2 linked regions of the Canis lupus familiaris genome follow. The protein of the gene in region 2 binds, or shares a complex with, the protein of the main gene of each other region. Links are inferred from orthologs where the notes say so. Each region holds a gene or a part of one and is shown on either strand. Other genes may lie near its edges.

Evidence for each region.
Region 1: the proteins of NAA50 (region 2) and NAA15 are in contact, whole or in part, in a cryo-EM structure (PDB 6PPL), measured with the Homo sapiens proteins. The link is inferred for Canis lupus familiaris from reciprocal best matches to the Homo sapiens genes NAA50 and NAA15. Residues at the interface, in NP_079422.1 of Homo sapiens: Arg5, His14, Asn15, Lys17, Gln18, Arg21, Leu22, Val25, Phe51, Asn52, Ile54, Ala55, Leu80, Pro82, Tyr83, Leu86; in NP_476516.1 of Homo sapiens: Pro369, Pro370, Thr371, Leu374, Ser403, Thr404, Pro405, Thr406, Leu407, Ile408, Phe411, Glu433, Ala436, Leu437, Asp438, Thr439, Ala440.

What each region holds. Positions count from the first base shown.
Region 1 is NC_049240.1:4,068,219-4,072,050, forward strand, and holds part of NAA15 (N-alpha-acetyltransferase 15, NatA auxiliary subunit), read right to left. Parts: intron 2,445-3,832; exon of another isoform or gene 2,350-2,444; intron 1,519-2,349; coding exon 1,349-1,518; intron 1-1,348. UniProt on the Homo sapiens protein: Auxillary subunit of N-terminal acetyltransferase complexes which display alpha (N-terminal) acetyltransferase (NAT) activity. The NAT activity may be important for vascular, hematopoietic and neuronal growth and development.
Region 2 is NC_049254.1:18,657,338-18,659,961, forward strand, and holds part of NAA50 (N-alpha-acetyltransferase 50), read right to left. Parts: intron 2,619-2,624; coding exon 2,552-2,618; intron 1,549-2,551; coding exon 1,371-1,548; 3' UTR 1-1,370. UniProt on the Homo sapiens protein: N-alpha-acetyltransferase that acetylates the N-terminus of proteins that retain their initiating methionine. Has a broad substrate specificity: able to acetylate the initiator methionine of most peptides, except for those with a proline in second position.

The sequences.
Region 1 (3,832 bases), on a different chromosome or scaffold from region 2:
TTTGGTAAATAAATTTTTTTTAAAGATCTTATTTATTTATTCATGAGAGACACAGAGACACAGGCAGAGGGAGAAGCAGGCTCCATGCAGGGAGCCCGATGTGGGACTCGATCCTGGGACCGCAGAATCAACCCCTGAGCTGAAGGCAGATGCTCAACCGCTGAGCCACCCAGGCATCCCTTTTTTGGTAAATAAATTTTAAGTTCACAATCTCTTCCCTAAGAGCTTTTATTACTGGGATCCCTGGGTGGCGCAGCAGTTTAGCGCCTGCCTTTGGCCCAGGGCGCGATCCTGGAGACCCGGGATTGAATCCCACGTCGGGCTCCCGGTGCATGGAGCCTGCTTCTCCCTCTGCCCGTGTCTCTCTCTCTCTCTCTCTCTCTCTCTCGCTCTCTCTCTGTGACTATCATAAATAAATAATAAAATTTTTTAAAAAGGAGCTTTTATTACTAACTTTTATTTGTATTAAGAAAGAGAAGAGCCAACTTTAAGATCATGCTAAAACATATAATTGAAGATTCTCAAGTAACAGCAACAAGTTAAGAAGACGGCAGCCTGGGTGGCTCAGCGGTTTAGCGCCGCCTTCAGCCTAGGGCGTGATCCTGGAAACCCAGGATCAAGTCCCACGTCAGGCTCCCTGCATGGAGCCTGCTTCTCCCTCTGCCCATGCCTCTGCCTCTCTCGCTCTCTCCCTCTCCCTCTCTTTCATGAATAAATAAAATCTTTTAAAAAGTTAAGAAGACAAGAACAATAATATAATCTTCAGTTTCATTTCATTAAAATTACCAGATACTGATCATGATCATACTCAAATGCTAAGAGAAACAAACCTGTCACAGTAAATTAAATACTTCTGAGTATCTATACTCTTACTACTTAAAACCAAGAAAATAACCAGACGTGTGTATGTGTGAATGTGGGCGCCTGGGTGGCTCAGTTGGTTAAGTGTCTGCCTTTGAGTCAGGTCACGATCCCAGTGTCCTGGGATTGAGCCCCACATCGGCCTCCCTGCTCAGCAGAGAGCCTGCTTCTCCCTCTCCTGCCCACCCCGCTTGTGCATGCGTGTTCTCAGTCAAATTAATTAATTAATATATCTTTCTTTTAAAAGAATATATAATATGAACAACAAAATATCTGAATAATCATATGCATGTATATCTGTATGTGTATGTAGAGATATGAGTAAATTATCATGACCATGACAAATCTAAAAATAAACAGACTGAGAAATGTTCTACACTTATTCCAAGTTTTCCGAGCCATCAAATATATCATTTTTGTTACAAAATTATAGAAAACAGTTTTTAAAAGACTCATTACCTTATTAAAAAGGGGGGGAATATTTTACCTTATAGATTTTAGCTTTCACAAGAAAGAGTTCTATCAATGTAGGTGTACTTTCAATAGCGGTATTTATGTATTCCAGAGCGATGGATGGCTGACCAATTTTGTCATAATGCTGTGCCAAGTAGTATTGGACCCAAAGTAATGTGGTTGGTGGTTCCTCTTTTCCATCATCTTTAAAAAGTGGGAGAGGTGGGTGGGAGAGGAAATAAGCCAAGATTAGTCATTACATATATGATGAGAGTACCCACCTCCAAATGGCTTTATCTTTATTAATAAGGAAAAGCAGTTTGAACTATTTATTTATGTATCTAGTTATAAAACCATCCTTAAATTTATAAGATCTTTGGAAGGGATCATGCTGTCTGTTCTGTATCATTACAACCTCTAACACAATGCCTTGAATTTAGTAAGAACTTTATATATATAATAAATATGGCAGATAAATGAGATCAAAGATATTAAAAATTACCTAAAAAAAGAAACTGAAAGGAGTGGGGGTAGACAAGTTGTGCTAGTACTATGAAAGTGTAATGATCAGGATGTTATTTATGAGGGGCGAAAAAGGTATCAAAAATATTGATTTTCCATTAATGTGAAATTAAAAAAAAAAAAATGGCCTGACTGCTTAATTGGGTTTCTAGCTAATGTACTAAACTATACATAAATATACTTGTAATGTGGTTGAGTTTGGGGTGATTATAATATTAATATATTTTAATATTATGCTGATGTGCAACGATGCATAATTTAGGTCAAATAAAAACTATACCCCAAAAATGACAGAAGTAAAAATGCTTACTCTACATTTTAGTTAATTTTTTATACACTCACAAGAAAATGTGTAAGTTAAATATACAACCCACACATTATAAAATAGTTTTTAATACCAATATCTAAAATCTAAGAACTGTCATTTGCTTTCAAAGAAAGCAATGGATTGCTTATTTTTATCCTAGTAAAAGTAGGATGGCTCAGTGGACAAACAATAGGAGTGGAACTCACCAACTCCCGATCTGATAGATCTGCAACTAAAGTGCTGCATATTCTTGGGCATGTCATTGAACCTCTTCCACATTTGTAAAATATGTAGGAAAATGCTGATAATCAAAGGAACATCATGATGATTAACCAATGAAACCATGGTAACGCCTTCTAAAAAGTATTATTAAAATTAATCTGAGACCTAGAAACAATGATCAACCCAATAGCAATGAGCATCCCAGGTCCCATACTGGGCTTTCCCACTAAGAACCAGGGCTCCTTTGGAAAAACAAGTGATTCCAGGTCTGCTATGGGCAGTGTACCAGATGAACTGGAATATCTGGTCATACCAAACTGCAAAAAAGCTACGTGAAGGCTGGAACCATTTGAAACTGCAATGATTTAAAACATCAAGTATGTTTAAACCCATGAATTTATAATACCTTTAAAATGTGCTCTGGCATCTTTGAAGGATGCTACTAAATGAATTCATTATTTTGAAAACTGATAAAGAACAACAACAAAAAGTATGAGATACAGGGGAAAGCAGCAGCATTTATCTTGCTTTTCCTATATAAACCAAAATACTGGATAAACAGGTAACAGATGAAGGGAAATTTCTCAAGATAATAAAGATGAATGACAGATTATCACTAGCTTATAATTCCTGACAGTTGCTAACATACAAACACTAAGTGCCTCCTGGTGTAAGAACATACTACATCACACCCATGAAATAAACCTTTTTCACCCTCTGTATTTAAAAAGAAACAAACAAAAAAAAAAGTGAATCTCATTAAGCCTCTACCTAGACCTGTCCATTAGAAGCTTCTACAAGGATGGAAGCATTCTGTATTTGCCCTGGCCATTATGGTAGTAGGCACTGGCTTTACACAGCTATTGAGCAGCACCTGAAATGTGGCTACTGCAACTGAAGAACTGAATTATTAATTTTACTTAATTTAAAAATTTTAATAATCACATTTGGCTAACAGTTATTATACTAGACAGCACAGCTCTACAGCCAACTACCAATTTGTAACAACTCAGAGAATAGAAGAACATGTTAAGCAACACCATGCAAGTCCATTCAGCAAAATCTAGACTGTAGAAAACTTAAGAAAAAAAAATTCAAAATTTTAAGCAAATAAATTGCAGGAAATAGAGCAAATAGAACACCTATAGATTTTTTATAAGAGAGTTGAGATATATCAAACTCAAGAGTATAGATTTCATATGGGTCCTCACTCAAACAAACTTGAAAACCAAAGAGGGGGAAAAAATGACATTTCTAAGATAACTAGAAATGTAAGTAAGCATGGATTTTTCTTTGACAATAAGAAAGCATTAATGTTCAAGTGTGGTGATGATATTATGGTTATGATCGTTAGAATACTAAAATAGTCATGGATAAAACGATGCGATGTTTGGGACTTGCTTCAGAATAACATGGGAACAGAGGGAAGTAGGTAAGAATATCAATGAAATATGTTTTCCCACGAGT
Region 2 (2,624 bases):
TGTCTCCTATCTTACAAAAAGTTACCAACCCGTCCAAGCCACTCCCTATGTGCCAGAAAATGATCTGGCATAAACCAGTCCTGTCAGTAGAGGAGGTCACAGTGACATTTACATTATTAACACTTCTGAACTTCTACTTTTCCAACAATAGAAGCAAAATGTTGAACAATTTCCCCTCCCCCAAATCCTTAAACTCAGTATCATAGGCACAGAAAATAAGCAAATCTGGGATGTTCTCCAACAGATAAGCAATAGCACAGCTATGTTATTCTCAAAAATACTGTCTAGATATATTTTCCTATATAATCAAATGCTCAGTGGCCACACTTTTAACAGTCTGCATTAGCTGACATTAAATGCATTTATTGTGCCACGAGTTCTTCTAAGCTTCCTTTTAGGTGTTTTCTAGTATGTCCAAGAGACAATACCTGCTTCAGGTTTATTTAGGGGTACTGACCTATAAGGACATCAACTCCCATTTTTAAGGTTAGACTAACTATTGTGAGTTTACTGATGAAAAAGGACAGGGGGGAAAAAGTAAATCACAACAAACCTCTTTAGGTCAGTTAAAGGCCATATCTCTAGCTGGGATATTAAAAAAAATTAATCTCACCAGCCACACTCTAAAAGTTAATGCCACTAAGAACAATCAACAGCAGGAAAAATAAACCTGCTACCAACCAGCCCATTCATTAGCAAAAAGCAGTTTAACTCAAATACTGAGACCAAAGTAAAACACTATCTACCCAAACTGTCCCACCCACCCTCAGCAAGGAATAAAGAAATAATTGCTTAAAAAAAAACAAGATAAGCTTAGTATTTCTTACAAGGATAACAATGGTCCAACTCCTGAGATAACACTCAGAAGGACAAAAGGTGGAGTGAAGGCAATGTCTAGGGATTAGTATCCCACAGTCTTGAAAAACCCAAAGTACCACAAACACACTAAACTTGTCTTTGAATTAGAGAACAAGATATTGCTGCTATTTCTTTTTGTCTTTTGATATATACAACATTTTTGTAGACTCTGCCCTTCAATGTGAAAGCAGGACATAAAAAAAAAATTGACACTGACACCCAATTTTTTGGGACCATATATATCTTAACTGTGAAACCAAACATATCTATACCTCCTCTTTTCTACAATCAAACCACCTCACAAAAATAAGAAAACTAAAAACAATCCAAACATGATTAATTTTGAAAGTCCTTGGAAGTATTAAACCTTTTTCAGAGGAAAGAAAAAGAAAGAAGGGAGGACAAACAAGAATAAGGAAGGAGGGGGAAAAGAAAGAGGGGGGAAAAAAAATCAATGGGCCTCTCTTTTATTTGGCGACAAGCAAGTGCAAGAAAGTTCATTTCTAATTTGTTCAGTTGTCTGTCTTTTGCACATCTGCATTCTGGCCAGAAGGGACTTTGAGGTTTTTCTGCAACACATGAGCATCTGCGGGCTCTATCCTCTTATAGTAGTTCTTCTTTGTCTCAATAATCTCAAAGCCAAACTTCCTGTAGAAGTCAATTGCCGACTCATTGCTGATCTGGACATGCCTGAGATATAGAAGGGTATCAGAAAAAAAATAAATAAGATTTTGTCAGCTTTTGTGTATTCTCCACAAATAGCTTCCAATTGGTTAGAGCTGGAATACTGCACACATTTGTTAGATTCTTCTCATAATTACTGGTAATCAACAAAGGTCAGTATTCATCTCAGAAAAACCTTTGATGACAAATGTATACTATTAACCTGCTACATTTGCATGACAGCTGGTTGAGGTTAGGAGACTCAGAAATAGTGTTTACTTTTACAATCAGCAAAGGACAAAGTACCTTAGGCTAGCATAATATTTTTCATTTCAAGGGGAAAAAAAGATTCCTGTAATTAAAAATGGGTAAATAACCATAGGGATAATTCAAAAGCCATATTTACACATGTAGGAAAAAATACAGAAAAATAATATAACTAGAGTTTCAAATGCCTGAATATATCCTCACGGATTTATTTTAAAAAATGCCAGATTTTGATAATAAATAATTTGAGCTTTCTCAATTGCTCCTTAAAACAGCATTATATAATCTCTCCCACCGACAAAGTTAAAATGAGAACAATCTTAATACCCTTGTGATATAGCCTTGGTTCTTAATTTGAGTTCTCTTAAGATAGAAATATCAGCTAGGTACTCTCTGATTTTAACTACTGAATTCTACTACTAATGAACATAGCACTAAGAACCTTAAACAAAACCCAGAGAGCAAACAGCATGAGAAAAGTAGTATTAATGATACTAATTCGCCAATTCTGAACACTTGAGTTTTAATCTTGGTTTCATCTCTGTGATTTTGGAGCTCCCATTCCAACATAATAAAGCAAAATGAGAATGTTTTAAGTCAGATTCCATATCTATTATTGAAACAAAACAAAACATAACCATTAAACTTCCATGGTTTTTCCAAAAGACAATGAAATAACTAACCAGATTTTAAAGTTTCTAGTAAAGATTTTTATTGCCAATCTATTAAAATCTTTAAGGACATTAAATATTATTTTACTTACAGATAGATGTTGTCAAAAGTGCCATCTTTTTCACAGATGTTTAAGACATGATTTAACATTTTAGTTCCTATTA